Ovis aries: one gene and its partner. The protein of the gene in region 1 interacts with the protein of each later gene in a pairwise test. Links are inferred from orthologs where the notes say so. Each region holds a gene or a part of one and is shown in the gene's direction. Other genes may lie near its edges.

Region 1 (9,381 bases):
CAAGGTCCTGAATTGCTGTGACTTTCTTTTTTCTATTTCTTTAGTGAACATTGAGATAATACGGTAAAACTGAAGGGTGTCTGTGTGCAGAGATTTTTTTTCTTCAACATGGAAACCAAAATATTAAAATAGAAATTGAGGTCTGTGTACATTGGTCATGATGCATCGTAAAGGTGAGAGGGAAAGGCATGTTGCAGAGTGATAATGCAATACACTCTTCTTGTAAAAGTTTTACTTAAAAACTTCTTTATGGTGAGAAAGAGAGTGAGTGAGTCATGGGAAGAACACCTCAAACTGAGCTCCTATGAGCAGGTCACCCTGGGAGTCAAGGTGAGGGGGAGATTAATTTTTTATATATCTGTGTATCCTTTGATTTGCTACAACAGCACGTTGATAATTTACCGTCATCCCCTAAAAAAACCCAAGGATGTTGAGTTCAAGAAAATGGTAACTGAGTTCCATTGCCCAGTGAAGAGCTGATGGGAGTGGCCACAGACCATAAGGCCCCACTTGAGCAAGGGGCTGGGAGCTGAGGAGGCTCCTGGAGGACTAGGCTGAGGGTGGCTGCAAGAGGAGCTGCTTGCCTCCTTGCAATGGGCATCTGTGACAAGGGGGTGCTGTGGGGGGCTGTGGGGGACAGAGGCCTATGCTGCTCCTCCCTTGGGGCAGGCAGGGGCAACTCTGAGTGGGAGTTGCTTCCAGTTGTCACTTTCCTCTTTCTTTCCCAGCTGTCCCTTTTGTAAAGGGAAGAGAGGGTTCTCTTTAAAGCGATTTGCTCAGCTCTGGGGGCTTGAGGACCTTCAGTAGAGAGGCAGTGTCTCATTTTTCAGTCTCATACAGTCAGGTGTGGTTCGGGATTCAGGAGGCAGTGTGCTCTAGGTCAGGTTAACTGTGAGCTCCTGCAGCTTGTGCTCAGGCAGTGTGTTGTAGTGCAGGCGCACACCACACATATGGGTCTTTGGTGAGACGTTTCTCATGCTCGTTGTGGTCCCAGGGCCTTGCTGTCAGGGTGCACTGGTGTCTAAGGGTCCCATTTTTTTGTCTTTGTAGGAAACCATAAACACAGGCCCTTTTGTGATGCGCTCCACGTGTCGGAGGTGTGGTGGCCGGGGCTCCATCATCACGTCTCCCTGTGTGGTGTGCAGAGGAGCAGGACAGGCTAAGCAGAAGAAGAAGGTGGTGATCCCCGTGCCTGCCGGTGGGTCTGGGCTCCTCCACGCATGGGGGCTGGGAGCTGAGGCCACCTGCCCTTGTTTCTGGAGCTGAAACTCAGGGAGAAACCAGAGTCTCAGGCATTTTCCTCTGCACCAGTTACCCTTAAGATCTGCGTGTGTCATAAGGAAATGGCACCTCGCGTGCCTGCCCTGCTCCTGCGAGAAGCAGCTCCTCCACCTCTTTCTGTCCCAAGGCCAACCTTGTACCCACTGTCCGCCCAGCTGGGCAAAGCCACCCTCTCTGCCCCCAGGGCCGGCCTATGACCCCCACCCCCCACCCCAAACCAATCCTATTCCTGGAGTGGTCTTTGCCCAGGGTGGTCTGATTACATCTCACACTGTTGAAGACCCTGTGGCGGTTCTCAGGGGCCAAAAATTGGCCTCCTCTTCCAGGCCCTCCTGGTCTCAGCCTCCTATCTTCTTAGTCTCCCCCTTGTTGCCTTGCTGCCTGCAGCTTCCTCATCCCCAGGGGAGCCTTCTGGAAGCATTTGCTTAGATGTTCCTTTGGAGCTGTGATCTTTTCATTCTAAGCAATTATCTCTGTTTGTAGTGATACATGGTGTTGTTATTCAGCTAATAACTGTCTCCCCTGTGGATGTGCTCAGTGGCATCCAACTCATTGCAGGGACTGCAGCCCACCAGGCTCCTCTGCCCATGGGCTCTCCAGGCAGGAATACTGCAGCGGGTTGCCATTGCCTTTTCCAGGGGATCTTCCCCACCCAGGGAGCGAACCTGCTTCTCCATCTCCTGCATTGGCAGGCGGATTCTTTAGCACTGTGCCCCACTAGACTCTAAACTCACTGGGATACTAGGTGGACCTGCTGGTAAACTTGAATAAGTGAATGGAAGGTGCTTTCATTTGGTTATCAATTACGATATGCCACACCTTTGAAAAGTTACACTTGTTTTACTTGTTGCTGTATTGGGTAACTGTGTTGTTCCTTGTAACAGGGAACAGGAATGAGTAAGTGGGTGGGTTGTAAATAGATCTAGCGTAGAAAATGCCTTCAGACATCCCCAAATAATTGTTCTCTTGCTTACAGGAGTCGAGGATGGCCAGACTGTGAGGATGCCTGTAGGAAAACGAGAAATTTTCATCACATTTAGGGTAGGTGCTCTGTTTGCGCAGCCTCTTTTAGGCCCATGGTCTCGTGGAGAGGGTGCAGCCCAGGCTTCTTAGGGGTGAGGTGAGAGCTTCACAGAATGTGCCTGGCTGTTCAAGTTTCTAGTCAAGTAGTGGCCAGCTCAGCGGGATGATTAAACATGTGTTACATTAAGCTTTTGTGCTAAATGTGGAGAGAACAAAGTTACCCCAAGGTGTTTACAAGTTGGCCACAAAGCACTCATAAAAATACAGAAAACATCTTATATTTTTTATTGATGTATTGAATTGTTCATGGGGACAGTAAGTGCCAGAGCTACAGATTTATGTGTGACGTGCAGGCAAAGTTTTCTGAGGCAAGGATAACAGAGGAAGTACCACCTCTGCCACCGATTCTACCAGGCATGGCCCTAAGGAGGTGCGGCAGGCGGAGGCAAGGCGTGTGCCAGCCTCGTCTACAACGGTGAGACAACAGCAGCCAACGGCCTGCTGTCCTTCGGGAGGAGTTGGTGAGGGGGCTGCACTGTGGGCACCTCGGAGCAGAAGCTGGAGATGCACAGGTTTTTGTGAGACGCCCTGATAGCTCCCAGTTACGGACAGGGAGCGAGCGGGTTGCAGGCCGAGGAATGAGGTCATCTGTGTAGTTTCAAACCACGTGAGGTGGTGTCATGTATTGTTTAGGGACATGTAAACATGTAGAAAAGGTAAACAGACGCTCCTAGGAAAGATACAGACTAAACGTAGCGGCTACTGTGGAGGGGTAAGCAGGAGGGGGAGAAGTCACCTGTGTCCTGGTCTTCTGTGACCTAAGCAGGGTTGTGTGTACAGCGTGTGGTAATTACTTGTGCTGATTTACATGTGTGTGAAATATTTCATCTGTGTTTCTAATAAAGTAAGATTTTTATATTTTTTAAGTTTTCAAAATTTAGTTTTATTTCCCTCAAGACTTGAACAGCTTCATCTGAGAGGACACTGTGGCATTGCAGTGAAGGAAGAAGCTGCCCTGTAACTCCCGGAGCCTGGGGGAGGTGGGCGCTTTGGTGAAAGTACGCTGTCTCCCTGGATGCTGCACGCTGAGCCGCGGCTGTGGTCTGCTCTCCAGAAGGACTTCTCTGAGCGTGAATAACCCTCCCGTGCTTGACCCTAGGTGCAGAAAAGCCCTGTGTTCCGGAGGGATGGCGCAGACATCCACTCAGACCTCTTCATCTCCATAGCTCAGGCCATCCTCGGGGGCACCGCCAGAACACAGGGCCTGTACGAGACCATCAGCGTGACGGTAAGAGTGCAAGCACGTTCTCACTGCTCTTTTTGTTTTTCTAAAACGGGAAATGGCTGAAACCTGGGAACAACCTGGCGGAAGGCAGGAGGAGTGTGGGCCACACCTTGGGTGTGACTCGGCCGGGAAGCAGCTCCTGGGCCATGTCCATCCTGCTGGGCTGGGCAGCGGCCTCAGTGGCGCCGCGGGTTGGCTCTGCCTCCTCCCAGGTCCTACTCCCCGAGCTCCCTCCCTCCTGCTGTGGGCTCTCCACCCCAGACTCCTGGCCCCAAGCTCGTCACAGGCTCTGCTCAGGGTAGACTCAGCCTAGCCAGTTTCTGTGTGGGGTTTGGTGGGTTTGGTCTAGAAACCTGAATGGAGTTCTTTTCGGGAGTAAGATTGTCTTCATGTCGTGAGATGTTTTCATTTGGGCAGCTGGAGGTGGAGGAAAACCTGAGGTTCCTTTCTTTGTAGATCCCCCCTGGGACTCAGTCAGACCAGAAGATTCGGATGAGTGGGAAGGGCATCCCGAGGATTAACAGCTATGGCTACGGAGACCACTACATTCACATCAAGATCAGAGTTCCAAAGTAAGTGCCACCTGGTGTGGCGAGGCCCACCCGCTCTCTGTAGCTTCCAGCACCAGCAGGAGCCGGTCGAGGACTTCTCACCTCCTGGGCAGGTGCTGAGCCCGACCGCCAGCCTGTGTGGCACTTCTGCTATAAGCACTGAGGCTTAGGCAGGTTACTTCTCCCTCTAAGTCTGTCCTGCCCAGGTGCTCCTTCTGAAAGCGGACGTGATATAAAAGTTTGACCTTGCTGAGTAGCTGGGAGATGAAATGAATAACCCATAGGGAGCAGTTAGCTATTATTGCTGCTGTTGGTTTTATTATCACTCTCGGGTCGCCCTCCATCTGAGAGATGATCTAGAACCAGCTGGCGGCAGGTATCATGTCTGGCCTTCAGGAGAAAAGTCCAAGAGGGAGCTGTGGACATCTGGAACGGGGCTTGCCGACTCCTCTCAGAGGGCTGGGTTTCCAGCACTCTCTTTAGTTGATTTCCTGCACACACTTGTAACAGCTTTTCATTCCTCTGGTAAACTGTTTACCATGGCCACAGTGGCAGTTGTTTAGAACAACTCAGGGTAGTTGAAGAGGTTTACATTACAGAAGCTTTAAGGGTGTGGGCTCTTGGGTTCAGGGTGTGCCTGGTGCCTGGGTCGAGGGTCCTGCCTTTCCCACATGCTACATGGGGACTGGCCACGTCCACGTCCTTTTGAAGAGCTGCCCAGAGGAGCCACTCGGACACTGACTGCGCTCGGTCCACAGGAGACTGACAAGCCGGCAGCAGAGCCTAATCCTGAGCTACGCTGAGGACGAGACCGACGTGGAGGGGACGGTGAACGGCGTCACCAACACAAGTACTGGTGAGACAGCCCCGCGGCCCGTGGGAGCCCCCCAGTACCTGGGAGGGCAGACGGTTTGGAAGCATGTTGGGGTTTCCACTGGGGAATCTTCCTGGAGTCTCCAGAGGGCCCAGTAGTAAGAGAGGGGCTGAGCGTTGGGCAGAGTGGCACAGGGCAGCCACACTCTGGGGAAAGCTGGCCAGCAGGGCCCCCCGCCCCGGCCCTCATCCTCTGTGCACGTGCTGCTGGCCGAGGTCCGTGAGTTCTGTGACGCTTCCCTCCAGGGAGCAGCTCTGTGCCTTAGGGCTGCTCTCCTGAGTTCTAGCCTTGGTTCTGCCACTTGCCCTGTGACCTTGGGCTCATTCCTGCATGAGATCAGCTTGTAGCCACTAAAGGAGATGTATGTCTTCCTCGCCCAGAAGTCTTCCCCTGGATTTCAGAGTGTCCTGTAAACAGCAGCTGCAGCAGGCTTAACGACCCCAGGTCTGCCTGTGTGCAGCAGGTCTAAACTCTGAGCTTCTAGGGCCGTGAACAAACAAAACGCCTTGTTTACTTTGAGCTTAAACATCTGTAGAGTGCAGTTTATTATTGGTGATTGGTGAGTAGCCATGCCCCCCACTCTGACCTTGGGCAGAAGCTTTGGCTACAGGCACCCTTGGCTGCGGCCCTCCTCCCTCTGGATGGGGGTACTCTGCCCAGATGAGGTGCTCTGCTGGGATGGGGTGCTCTGCCGAGGAAACGCTGTTCCCTGTCAGTTGGGCCTCCTGCTGGGCTGGGACAGGCCGTGCTGAGGGTGAGTTGGCTTCTGCTGCCCGATGTGCTGCCTCCTGGTTGCACCACATTGTTTTTGTCTGGGTCCTGGATTTTCTGTCACCGTCTCAGAACTTGAGTGGTATTAGATTAGTGTGCAGTCAGAGCAGGTGATCAGAGCTGGGGGTGAGGTCTTGGTCTTGGAGCCCTGGGGCAGGGCTGGGAGTCCCAGTGGCAGCACCCTTTGCATGGAGTTGGCCGAGCTCCCCTAAATCCAGGGGACCAAGTCCTCTGTGAAAAAACAGCTGCCACAGATTCTGTCTTTGGCCAACTGGGCATAAAGTGAGCACTTACTTTAGTGGTTTGGTTCATAGACTTTTTCATATTTTCTTGTTACTATCCCTTGGACTAAAAAGAAGTGGGGATGATTCTTCCACATAACTCTACTTATGCACCTCTAGGTTTTTTTCCTGAGTCCCAAATAGTCCCACAGTCATAGAGCATGCGAGATTTGCTCTGCAACCAGCTTTCAGCCATGCGCCCCTCCCCCAGGGGAACTTGAGGTCTTCCTGACTGAGCTCTGAGTGAGACCCTGGGCCTTGTTCACTGTTTGCATGTTGGGTATTATCCACCAGTTGTTATCAAGCCCCTTCCTGAGAGCTCAGATTGGAAGTTGATCCTGCAGTCAGTTTCTGAGTAATGTCCTCGGTTCTCATCCTGTTAGCTCATTCCCTCTCCCCTCGTTTAGCCGAGATTTATTGAAAGGCTCTTATGTGCCAGACACTTTGCCAGTTCTTCGTTTTAAATTTCTATTGACATAATTTTGCTGAATATATCATGTTAACATATGTGTTGCATGTGTTTGTGAAGAGTTCATAAAGTGAAATGAGTGTCCTGAATTATTTTTTTTTCCACTCACTTCCATTGTCATTTCAGAATTGTATTCAGTGGGAAATATGGCTCCCAGACATAATTATTTAAATGGCTTTTAAGAATCTTAGCACTGGAATGCACTGTCGGTCAGTCTGCAGCCTGGGTGTGGTTAAGCCTCTTGTTACTGTGAAGAAAGTTACTTTTGCCGTCCACGTGTGAGGACATGGTGCACACAGTAACCTTTCCCGACGTCTGTACTAAGGTGCATCCTACTTATTCAAGTAGAGCCTGAGTCTCTGCTATTAAAGTTACACTGGAAGCAGTTGCCTGCAGTCATCAGTGGTTCTTAGGCTAGTGTGTCACTTAATAGCCCCCAAGTGCCCGTGGAGATAGTCACTGCAGATGCAGACTGAGTCCTGGGTGTCTTTGCTTTCACCACGGGAAAGGTATCGGGAAAGCATTTGGAAAAGTTACCATTCTGTAGGAAAACAACCTAAACGTTTTTGGTGGGTTTAGTATCGCTTGTTTATTTTTGTTCTCTGTAGCCCCTGCTGAAAACCTTAATAATGGCTGGCCCTGGCTTCGTTCCCAGTCTGAGAAGCAGAAAAACCTCAGCGAGCTGGGGGCCTGGGGCACTCTGAGGTTACTGAGTGACCTTTTGGGTTTAGAGACAGCATGGCTCGTTGTTTGTGTTTGTGGATTGTCATTAACTCCTGTGATGACCTCTGTACGTCCATTTAGCTGTCGTGCAGGAACCTCTTCCAGAGCTTGGATCCACCTGCGGTCTCTTCTCTGATGAGCTGACGGCATTGACTGTTGAGCCCCTTTATTTAGGTAGGGTGGAGGCAAGAGGAAGATGAGGAAAAAGACATTTTAGTGGAACAAGAGGCACTCTGCTGGCTCAGTCTGAGTGTGTAGTCAGCTCAGGTAGTCAGACTGCGTGTAGACCCCGCACCTCTGCCTGTAGGGTGGGTCCAGTCCTCAGATGTCACCCTGGAGTCCTGTTGGCTTCTGTTTCTCGCACTGATGGTCACCAAGCACTTGCCATGTGCTCAGAAGCGATGACCAGAGAGATGGGGTCCCTGCCCCGCCCAGCTTACAGTGTGAGGGGGGAAGGCCAGCAGGCACTGAACCCCCAGGTGAGTGCCAGACCTTGCTCATGACACTAGGAGCTTGTACCTGTGGAGAAAAAGGTGGTACAGATTCATGGAATGAGCGTTACCTGGTTATTCATCACCTTGTGAAGAGCCATGGATTACCTTCCCCACCTCTTCTGGAGACCTGCTGCCCGAAGCTGTGGGCCTCTCACCGGCAAAGGCATCTCAGACTGAGATCTTGGGGACATGGGCATTTGTCCTACACATTGCCCTTGATATACATCCCCCCGCACACTGACATGCGCTAATTTTCCTGGCACAATGAAAAACATTGAGTCCAGTCCAGCTCATAGCGCATTGGTCCTCTTGCCTCGTGGGTGGCCGATCTTTAACGTGCCGTGTTTGTGCAGAGGGGTCTCATGGCCCCTCTGAAAACAGAAGGGTGGCCACCCTGTCTTGGAGCATTTGGAGCCAGGTGCTTGCCCGGTGACACACGGGGCCCTTGGCTGCCCCGTCCCAGATGAGCAGCGCACATGTCCTGGGGTCCCGGGTGCTACCTGAAGATGGTCCGTGTGCACTAGCTGGGTGTGGAAGCTGGTCAGTGGCTCTCGGCACATGCTCTTCACCTTCTCAGAGCCTGGGCTTTGGTGTCTGACTGCTTGGGTCTGAACTCAGACCTCCTGCTCGCTTATTTGCTCTGTGACCTTAGTCATGCCACCTAACCCCTTTGTGCCTCTGGTTTTTGTTTCTTTCATCTGGAATTTACCTGTAAGGTTATCGTAAGGATTGACTGAGGTACGGACGCCATGTAGCCTGGCCTGGAAGGCATCAGCACCGGCTGTTTTTTGTTATGGTTGTTAAGGTGGGACAGCTGCCTGATGTCCCTTTCTGTTCCTTGTTTTCCTCTTGAGGGCCAGTGACTTGGGGAACAGTTGGGATGCTCTAAGTGCTGAGTCATCTGATGAACGGGACAACCCTGGACAACCTGATACGGCCACCTCTCCTCTCGGGGTGGCGCTTGGTGGCTCTTGGAGCGCGAGCCCTGGGTGGCCAGGCGGGGCCTGGGGCGGGCTGCGAGGAGGTCTGCACCCTTGACCCCAGTTCTCTCTGCTGTTTATGCCCAGGTGGCAGCACCATGGATAGCTCCGCGGGAGGCAAGGCTAGGCCTGAGGCTGGGGAGGACAAGGAGGGATTCCTTTCCAAACTTAAGAGAATGTTTACCTCCTGATATCCCAGCCGAGGTAGGAAAACCCCTGAGGTTCCTCCCCTTCATGCCCCTCTGAACTAATGAATCCCTGTTTTCCCTCATTTTAGCCAGTATCATCCCCCCACCCCGAGAGGTGAAGAGGTTCTCATCTCAGGCATGGTGTGAACCCAGCCTCAGCCCAAGGGGAGCTGGCCAGTAGTGCAGGGCTGAACCACCTCCTGGAGCCCCCAGCCCTCCTTCCACCATCTCCCGGGGGCATTGCATCCCGCCATGGTGGGAACCAGGTTGTCCATAGTCACAGAGGGCAGGTCACAGCAGAGCCAGGCCTAGAACTCAGATCTCCCTAGCCCCGCCCTGTCCTGCCTGGGATGTCTAGGGCAATGTCAGCTTTAGTGTGGAGTGGGGTGGGGCAGTGATGGGAGTCCTGCTTGCTCACCATGGTGTCTTGGGATACACCTTTCGTTTGTGCTGGTCCCTGA
Region 2 (10,099 bases), on another chromosome or scaffold:
GCACCAGCCCATCGCCTCCCCGCAGGCCTACCCACCAGCCAACTCTGATTTAACACAAATGTCGACTGCTTATCATTAAGCATCTTTCATGAACTGAAAAGAGCTTTCTTTTGAACGACCCCCTTTGTCCATTTTTCGACTGGATTGCTGTCCTTCCTTTATCGGTTTCTAGGCACACATTACACAGTAGGGATATTAACTTTTTATTGTGGTATGACCTGGAAATATTCTCCCCCAGTTTGTCATTCACCCTTTTGTTGTTGTTTAGTTGCTAAGTCGTGTCTGATGCTTTGTGACCCCATGGACTATAACGTCAGGTTCCAATGCCCATGGGATTTCCCAGGCAAGAATACTGGAGTGGGTTGCCATTTCCTTCTCCAGGGGATCTTCCCAACCCAGGGATCGAACCCAGGTCACTCGCATTCCAGGCTGATTCTTTACCAGCTGAGCCACCAGGGAAGCCCATGATTTACCCTCTGATTCTACTCTGTCATTCCTAAGTTTGGTATTATAAAGTCAATATATATCAATCTTTTCTTTAATGGCTCTGGATTGATTCATAGGTAGAAAGTCTTTCCCATTCCCAAGTCACAAAGGAATTCACCCTCATTTTCTTTCAGGATCTTTATGGTTCCATTTCTGAACACAGCGACTGGTTGGGTGGCCTTCCCCAGCCCCTCGACCAGTGGGGCTCCTTTGTCCTCCTTCATGGTACTTCTCCCGATCACAGGTAATTAATTATAGTTAAATAAGGCACTGAATGTGTGTGTCTTCCACTGGGTTGTCAGCTCCACCCATGAGGACAGAGAGTTGACTGATTTGCTCACCCCAGTGTCCCAGCTCTTGTCTCAGGAATGGCAAAGAGGGAGTACGGACACATGCCTGCTGACTGAATTATCTCCCCTTCCCAGTCCACCTCAGGACCCCTCCCACACCCCTCACTCCCCTTCCCAATGCTCCCAGATGAACTGGGTACCTGGAGTAAAGTTGGAAGACAAACTACTTCCCCCTGGAACAGGAAGCAGGGCTTCAGGGGATGGGAGGTCACCTGAGTCTGAGCGGAAAAGGGCAATCTGAATAAGAACAACACACCCAAGTTCTCCCTCTTTCCAGGTCACCTGTATTTTTTTACCTTCACCAAACACCTCATCGCTCTTTTCGGCAAAACCTGCTCTTTGCTGGGGAGCTCCCGCCTAGCTCCCCACTGGGCAGCCGAGCCTTCCCCACACCCACATTCACCTGTTCTTGGTGCAGCCTCTGAACCTCCTCCAACTCCCGCTGGCTCCCTTCTTCCAGGTTCTTTCGGACAACCTCGGCCCCAGCCAGGGCGGCACGCAGGCCCTCAGCCTCAGCGCGGCCAGCCTTCTCCGCCCGTGCCAGTGCCTCCAGCTCCACGGCCTGAGCCTCCAGCCTCAGCTTCTGCTGCAGCGAGGTCTCCCGTAGCACCCGGACCTCTTCCTCCAGCCGCCGCAGCTCTCGCAGCTGTCGAGAGATCAGCTCAGCCTGCTGACTCAGGGCCTGTGACCCTGCCAATTCCGTGCACCTTCAGAGACAAGTTAGCATAGGTGGGACAGGTCAGTCAGGTGGTGAGAGCGGCCAAGGCATGAATGGAGACAAAAGAAGAGGAGAGGATCCCTCTGCTCCTATGTGGAGGGATGCAGGGAATGAAGCTGGGCCATGGGGATCTCTGCATTCCGTCACCATCATCATTCAAGGCAGCCCTACTAAGCATATCTGGGTCCACAGGACCTGAAAAGCTAGCTGAGTTCATGGACCATAACCTCTCTTGAAGGCAATATACAGACAGATGTGTTAACCATCACACGTGCACGTCATTAGGCTGCTGCTGCTGCGGCTGCTAAGCCACTTCAGTCGTGTCCGACTCTGTGCAACCCCATAGACGGCAGCCCACCAGGCTCCCCCGTCCCTGGGATTCTCCAGGCAAGAACACTGGAGTGGGTTGCCATTTCCTTCTCCAATGCATGAAAGTGAAAAGTGAAAGTGAAGTCGCTCAGTCATGTCCGACTCTTAGCGACCCCATGGACTGCAGCCTACCAGGCTCCTCCGTCCATGGGATTTTCCAGGCAAGAGTACTGGAGTGGGGTGCTATCGTCTTCTCCACATCATTAGGCTACACATTCTGAATTGGAGAAGTCTGAAGGACACTGAGACTGCTGAATTCTGACTTAAGGGCAGGGAAAAGTTTGATGGAGGTACAAAGAGAGGTGATGGCTTCCAGTATCAGTATGGCAAGGCCAGACGCCAGTTAAGATTATTTAACTGTTAGATATCCTGCATGAGAAGTCTGAGAGGGCAGCATCTCAATAAATCACAAAGTCCCAACCTCTAGAGAGCTGAAACCAGCTTATAAGATGATTCTTGACACAGTTCCCTCACTGAGGCCCAGAACCAGAGCACTGTAAAAAAATTTTTTTTCAGCTGTGCCATGCAGCTTGTGGGATCTTAGATCCCAAAGCAAGGACTGAACATGTGTCCTTCAGTGAAAGCCTGGAATCCTAACCACTGGACTCCCCAACACCTTTTTACAGGATCTGTAGCCTACAGAAATTAAGTGACTGGACAAAGGACCCCTAGAGGGTAGCCAAACAAGCCACAGAGTCTCCATCCCCTGACACTCTCACGCTCCCCTTTCATCATCCTCCTTCTTTCCCTTTGACAGGGCCCAAAGTAGACCCAATTGCAATCCTGCTCAGGAACAAAATGGCAGACGGATGGTCCAGTACATTTGGGAAAAGATTCACATGAAACATCAAGAATAAGAATTTTCACAGACAACACACTGACAGAGAGCATGGCCAGCTCCACCAGATGAACTCGTACTACTACAGCACCCAGTCTGTATACCCAGCCCACACTTCTTCAGCCTGCCTTATACTACGCTTAGTACAATCAGCTGTGGGTCAACCAATTTCTTCCCTTAGGATTTAAAATTCTTTGATATCAGGATATCTTATTTATTTTTGTTATCTTTGTCCCTAGCATCTAGCACACTGCTATTATTTATGCATTGTAGACACCAACAATTGCTTCTAAAAAAAAATGAACAAATTGTGGAACTAAGGGTTGAAAGAGGGTAAGGACTCTATTACAGTCAAGAAGGGTCATTGGCAAGCAAGCCCAAGAGAACAGTAACATTAGATCCATACCTGCCTCTCCACTCTGGTTCCTGCCCTTTGCCAGAAACTTCCTGTTCCCACATGGTAACTTGAGGTCTCTGGTTGTCTGGCCGCCTCTCTAAAACATCTTGATGGGTTGGGCGCTGGACCAGGGGAGCGTCTGAGGCCCATGTGGGAGCCATTCTCGGCAGTGTTGGAAGGGGCCGAACTTGGAAGTGGGATGGGGGAATCAGCCCAGTGGAACCTAAAGAATCGTAAGGACAAAGGTACTCAGTTCTCCAGGGAGACACAATCACCAGTCCCCATGCCAGGTCCCACTGACCTGAAGGTCGAAACATCTCCACATTATTTGAAGTCTCTAGAGTCGGTGTACAGCCATCTATGCCCCCCTAAACAATAGGAGAAACAAAGACACTCCAATTCAATTTTCAGGCCTCCTTCCAAAAAGAGAGCCCCTACAATAACAAAGTCATAATCCTTAAATAACAGCCAGGTCCATCCGACTCTTAGCTTTTCTTATTCTACTTCCCAAAAGAAGCAGGAAGTACCCCAAGATCCCTTGCTTGTCTCAGTCTGGTTCCTGACAGACTATGGCAACAGCCATGAGGTGGAGACAATTTACTGAGACAGGCTGAGGGGCTGTGAAGTTTTACTCATACTTTTAGAATTCTGGACAGTGCCTTTACCCTCCTCCTTAAGTTTCTATGGTCTCTGCAGTTCCTGGATGAAGGTGACAATTGAGGTATGCGATGCAGGGGCCGTGAGCCCAGTCTCCAGAGTTCTCTCCATGGCTCACCAAGACCTTGGGGAAGCCCATCCAGACACCACCAAGCCATGACTCCCGGGTCCTTCCCTATTAGAGCGCTGACCCAAGGCCTGGCCCCTGATGAATGCGGCCACATGTAGCACAGAATGCCTCCCCAGAACCCCTGGGGGAATCCAGGCAGCCTGGACTCCTTAGCAGAAAAGCCAGCTAGTTTCGGACATCTTATCCAAACCGTGCCAGCAACTTTCCACTCAGTTTCTCTCTATCGTCCCCTCAGCTTCCATTCCTGCCTCCCACCTGCCTCTCCAGAGTCCTAGAGCAGAGAGGGCTTGTCAAGATCTCCCCACCCTCCCACCCGAATTCATCTATTTTTCTCCCAATCTGGGATCCCTATCCCTCCCTACATCACTATTTGCTTTTATCCTGAAGGAATTATGCTGGCCCCTCACCCTCTCATGTCTCAGTAGCCTGCACTCCCTCCCTCCTCTCTCCCAGATCCTCCTGAGTCTTCGCCCTGCTGGACGCTGAGCTCTAAGGCTGTTCTGACCACCTCATTTGTTCCTTTACCCTGCCCTTACGCCCCTCCGCCCGGTGGACCCCTGAACCCACCCCCGCACCCCCTCTCAGCCCCTTCCCGCCCCCAACTGACTCTTCCCGAATGCCCCTTACCCAGCGCGAGAGACCCCACAGCCCTTTGGCCACACCCCCTACACCTAGCTCCCGGTCGCTGCCTGGATCCCTGGCCGCGCCTGCGCAAAGCGGGCAGGTTGGCGGGACGCTCTTAAGCCTGTAGGGTTACCTCTCCGGAAGGAGGCGGGGAAGCGGCGCACGCAGGCGCAGTAGTGTCTAAAGCCAGGCCCAATTAAGGCGTTAGGGGTTTCTCCGCGCCCTGGCGGCTCCTCCCAACTCCGGGAACCCGGGAAAACTTGTGAACTAATCAGAAAACGCGGAAGGCGGGAGATCCCAGCGCGTCGCCCAATGGAGAGAAGGAAGGCAAACGAGATGGCCAATCAGAAACGGCTCGGGGGACGCGCTCACTCCGCTCGAAGTCCGGACCCGGGAATTCCGAAGGCGGGGTCGACGATGCGCGCGCGCGGAGACCGCGCCCCTCCTGGCCCTGGCTTCTTCGCTGTCAAACAGCCGCAGGAGCACCAACCCCGGCCGATCCCGAGAGGTCCTGGGCTGCGGCATAGGCTGGCATTACCTGGAGAGGGAACCATTCCGAGACTGCACAGCGCGGTAGATACGAATCCGGGCTGGGGCGGGGAGGGAAAAGGCTGGATTTGTCTTGAATCATCCTGGGAAGCCCTTTCCTCTGTTTTTATCCCACCTGGAGAAACCAGAAAGCAGGGGTTTAGATCCACTTTGTTGGACAACGTAGAGCCCCGTTTGCACTGCCTTTGAGGGGTGACTGAGTACATTTCCCACTGGGGGTCAAGCTAGCTAGTTATGAATGAGGAATTGGTTAGAAGAGTGAAGCGTGAGCTAGCAGGCGGGTTACTCTATTAGGAAAAGCAGGTTTGACAGGAAGAAGCTTCTCATCTCTAAATTACACTGAAGAGGCAAGTTAGTATATCACACAGAAGCAGCGCCCCTCCCCCGCCCCCCCCACACCTACAGTTCGAATTTCCCTATAAGCTGCCTAATGTATTGTTGACTTGCCCAGATTGAAGGCTCCTGGAATATTTTGCGGCCTGAGGATCCGATTCAACTTCGTGCCACAGGACGCCTTCTATTTTGCACTACACTGGAACTTTCACCAAATTTTTTCCGTTGCAAAGCTGTTGACAGCCAATTTTACATCGCATCCTAGGCTCCGTGCACCCTGAATTTGCCCTACTCAGGGAGTGTGCTCAAAGTCGAAATTGCACAAAGGATAGCTCAAGTTTGCATCAGACGGAAAGTGAATTTAGGCCAGCTGTGCACGGCCCAGGAAAGTGGACAAGGTGATGGATTCCTGAAGTGAAGAGGTGGTGCCGAGGGGGCCCCGCCCATGCTGCCCTGCTTCCAGCTGCTGCGCATAGGGGTCGGCAAGGGTGTCGATCTCCACACCTTCCACCCCCCCAGTGGAGCTGGCTGCACCTACCGTTTGGGCTGCAGGGCCGACCTCTGTGATGTGACCCTGCGGCCACAGCACGAGCCAGGCTTCATTTCTGGGGTCCACGCAGAGCTGCATGCCGAGCGCCAGGGTGATGACTGGAGGGTCAGCCTGGAGAACCACAGCAGCCAAGGTGAGGAGTGAGCAGAGCAGCCTTATGCCAGGGCAGTCGCAGTTTTGGGCTGGAATGAATTAAGAGACTCCACAGGGACTCTGCTGGCCTCCCAAACTCCCCATCAGGTTGGATGGACGGTTGTCATGCAGACTTCTGTCTTTCCACCAGAAATGTGCAGTGTCGGAAGCTCTTTGTGGGGCTGATCCTGTTTAGCTTATAGAGTGGGTGGGAGATAGATCCACAGACTGGGGCATCACAGTGGGGATGTTCTGAGACCATGGTGGGCAGTGAGGGGGCAAGCTTAGACTTCAGTTTCCAGATTGTTTAGACATTTGTCCTTGCCTTAGGGCAGTTGTGTTTTATGTTGAATTATCTTTTAATCATCCGGACATGGGCGTTACTCCCTGACTTGGAGGCAGTTAGGCAGCCTCAGGAGGCCTGGGTTTACGAGTTCTGCTGTTGGCCCCTGGTAACATCACTCAGACCTGCCACTTCACCTCTCTAGGTCTTAGTTTCCTCTTAGCTAAAATATGTCTTTGAAAGTGAGGAGTGTTGTGGGGATTAGATAACTTCAATTGGCCAACATTCATTTCCTGTTTATTATTATGCGCCAAGAACTGTTTTATGTGCATTAAATATAGGTGAGCACAAATGCCTCATTTTACAAAGAAAATGAAGCATAAAGAGGCTGACTTGTCCAGGGTCACGTGACAGGTAAATGGTGGAATTTGGATTTGAACTCAGATAGTCTGAGCTATGCTGTTAACTGGAACTGAGAGTGAGCATCTCTGAGACCCAGACCTCAGTGGATTGAGGGAAGTTCATTTCATGTGCCTTGAGGGAGAGCATAAGGAAAAAAAAAAATTCTTAGCTCCCAGGGAGTTTCTTATCTGATGACACCTACTTACTGAGGGACTTAGAATGTGAGGATTTCATGACATGCATGTGTTCTTCCTCATATTTCCCAGAAAACCAGACAGGACCAGATTTCTCCACTGCTGACCAGTCGTTTGTTTTTGTCGTTCTCTTTATCTGTCTGGTGCCCCATAATCAACAGGGACTTTGGTCAATAATGTCCGACTCCCAAGGGGTCACAGGCTGGAATTGAATGATGGTGATCTTCTGACCTTTGGCCCTGAAGGGCCCCCAGGAACCAGCCCTTCAGAGTTCTACTTGTTTCAGCAAGTCCGAGTCAAACCTCAAGATTTTGCTGCCATTACTACCCCACGGTCTAGGGGAGAAGAGGGAACCGGGGTTGGTTTCCGGCCCATGCTGCCCTCCCAGGGGGCTCCACAGCGTCCGCTCAGCACCCTCTCCCCAGCCCCCAAAGCAACGCTGATCCTCAACTCCATTGGCAGCCTCAGCAAGCTCCACTCGCAGCCCCTCACCTTCTCACGGAGTGGGGGTGGGCCACAGAGTCCGCCTATTCCCACTCCCACCGGGCAAGCGGGGACTGCCCCTTCTGCCCCACCCCCAAGAAACCGGAGGAAGTCGGCTCACCGCGTGTTGGAAGAACTGGATGATGAGAGAGAGGCTCCCAAGAGCCCCTCACCAGTCCTGCCGGAGCCTAGGAAAAAACTCCGCGTAGAGAAAACCCCGCCGACACCCAGTGGGTAAGTGAACTTGGCTTTATTTCACTGCCTTTGGTTCTTTTAGAGCCCTAGGTTGAGATGTACCTAAATGCGTGGGTGGTGGGGATGGGAGATGGAACACCTGTTGTGATGACAAGACCTGGGTTAGCTGTGCTAGCCAGATTCACCATTAGTCTAGTGAATCTCTATGGGGTCCCTCTGCAGTTATCCAGGGGAGAAGTTCCAGGCTTCTACAGGTTTCCAGTGACCTTGGTTTTTGTGTCCCTTCCTTCAGAAATCGACGCGGGCGTCCTCGGAAGCACCCACTGAGCAACTCCAGGGCTCCCCCTGCAGTTGGGGGCGGGGAGCCCTGTGCAGCCCCTTGTTGCTGCCTACCCCAAGAAGAGACAGTGGCCTGGGTTCAGTGTGATGGCTGTGACATCTGGTTCCATGTGGCCTGTGTTGGTTGCAGCATTCAGGCTGCCAGGGAGGCCGACTTCCGGTGCCCAGGCTGTCGTGCAGGCATCCAGACCTAAGGCCCACCGCCAAAGCACCAGAGGACAGAGCCAGCACCTCCAGGCCAGGGGTGGACACTGAGGGTGCCAATGGGTCCTAAGAGCTGCCCTCTTCTATCCTTGCCTCTCCAGGAGGGAATGACTCAGGAGAAGGGTCCACTCCTGTGGATTATCAATTCAAGGCCTGGAGCAGGGCCTTGTGGCCAAGGTGACAGAAGAGATGGCTTCCTGCCAAAGATACTGCTGCCTCCAGGAAGTTACCAGTGAGCTGGAAATTCCCACTGTCACAAGCTGTAGGTCCTTGTCATGGATACTAGAATGTCTGTGGTCAAGAGCACCCATCAATTGTAGAGGTCATGCCTGGGAAGGTATAAGCCCCAGCCTTGAACAAGCAAGTTCTTAATGTTTTTGATGGTATCCCTAAGGCATTTCTAGAGCACAGACCCCAAACTTCCTTACATTGTGGGTGGTCCTGCTGCTGACCACAATGACTGTGACCTGACTTCTCAGAGCTTTGCTTCCATTTCCAAATAAAGAATGAGCAGCTTCATACGCTCTAAGGTATTTACTCTTTGTGTGGGTCTGATACTCCTTGCCTTCCAGTTCTTGACAGAATGGAGTTGGTTAGTCTGGAAAATTAATTCAGATACTTACAGGAAGAGACAAGCAGATGAGGCAGAGGAAGACAGGAAAAGGGGAATCTAGGTAATTACAGTTGCTAATTTAAAAGGAAACATTCACTGCCATTAAAATGTCATTTGGATTTGATCAAGTTCATGAGGGTGGTGGAACTTCTACAAGTTTCATCAGTACTACCAAGAAGAGAGAACCTGAGACACCAGCTAGAGCAGATGTCAGCCTGGTCCAGGATCGATACAACCCACATATGCTCCACTGAGTCTCTTCTCAGTTGCACACCAAGTCAGCACACTGTCAAAGCAGTGTTTCTATAGTTCTTACTAGGAAAGTCCTGTCTTGACCTATCTTCTTGCAACCTGCATGTCCATCCCCTTCCTTCTCTACTTAGACTTACCAACCCAAATGTTTTTACGGATCAAGGAAAAGCTCCAGAGGAAGAGCCCCAGTTAGGAAGTGGCAGCGTCAGGTCTAAAGTGTGTGTAGTGGTAAGTGAGTCACAAACAAGGCAAAAACCTTAAGTGAAAACCAAATGGACCCCAGTATCAAGAAAGCACAAAGTGGCGTTTCTGGTTGGACTGATAGAAGAAATGAGTAAAGGCTTGATTTCTTAGCACAAAGCCACTGAGGACTACAGAGAAGAATGGAGGAAAGCAAAAACCCAGATCCTAATAGGGAACGGACTATGTAATAACTGCCTCTTTGGGCAAAGGTGTTCATCTCCAATTTCTGCAGGACCGCAAGTCAGAGGTTCCTAAGAACTAGCTCACACTTATAAAGAGCCCTGTCCATATAAACTTAGGATCCAACCCCACAGCTCCCTCTGACATTGTGACTGCACAGTGTAAACAGCAACCTTCGTTTCGGGGTCATTTAGGTCTGAGAGCTGTTAATACCCACTATTAAATATCCTATCCACTCTTCAATAACTAGAGGATAAACCAAAGACAAAAATATCCACCTACTAGGTCCCAGGCTTCTTTATTTAAGAACAAAGTGATGAGTGATGTGGGGATTAAAGTCAAGAGCATCATTGAACTTCACCTTCCCTCCAACCAGTTTCCCCAAACTCCCTGCCCCCACACCCATTGTGTTCCCAATTCCTTTCTTAGTGAATGAAAAACTTAATCCCAAAGCCCTAGTACAAACCCCAGGGTTCTCTCCCTAGCTCTCCCCTTCCTCTGCCCCCCATTCCTGGGGTGAGCAGGCACCTCAGTTTGAATGCATAGGAGAACCCAGAGCGGTGACAGACACCGAGGGA

Evidence for each region.
Region 2: the proteins of DNAJA3 (region 1) and TCF19 interact in a two-hybrid assay, tested with the Homo sapiens proteins (2 studies listed by BioGRID and IntAct). The two-hybrid records come from large-scale screens. The link is inferred for Ovis aries from reciprocal best matches to the Homo sapiens genes DNAJA3 and TCF19.

The regions. Positions count from the first base shown.
Region 1 is NC_056077.1:4,162,274-4,171,654, forward strand, and holds part of DNAJA3 (dnaJ homolog subfamily A member 3, mitochondrial), read left to right. Parts: intron 1-1,050; coding exon 1,051-1,198; intron 1,199-2,257; coding exon 2,258-2,322; intron 2,323-3,463; coding exon 3,464-3,592; intron 3,593-4,045; coding exon 4,046-4,161; intron 4,162-4,898; coding exon 4,899-5,112; 3' UTR 5,113-8,819; coding exon of another isoform or gene 8,820-8,923; 3' UTR 8,924-9,381. UniProt on the Homo sapiens protein: Modulates apoptotic signal transduction or effector structures within the mitochondrial matrix. Affect cytochrome C release from the mitochondria and caspase 3 activation, but not caspase 8 activation.
Region 2 is NC_056073.1:27,058,624-27,068,722, reverse strand, and holds TCF19 (transcription factor 19), read left to right. Parts: upstream 1-5,025; 5' UTR 5,026-5,142; intron 5,143-5,569; exon of another isoform or gene 5,570-5,716; 5' UTR 5,717-5,896; coding exon 5,897-6,134; intron 6,135-7,173; coding exon 7,174-7,729; intron 7,730-7,982; coding exon 7,983-8,223; 3' UTR 8,224-8,766; downstream 8,767-10,099. Other genes in the region: CCHCR1 (coiled-coil alpha-helical rod protein 1), read right to left, coding at 1,240-1,543, 3,168-3,381, 3,460-3,526, 3,824-4,039; POU5F1 (POU domain, class 5, transcription factor 1), read right to left, coding at 10,051-10,099. UniProt on the Homo sapiens protein: Potential transcription factor that may play a role in the regulation of genes involved in cell cycle G1/S transition. May bind to regulatory elements of genes, including the promoter of the transcription factor FOXO1.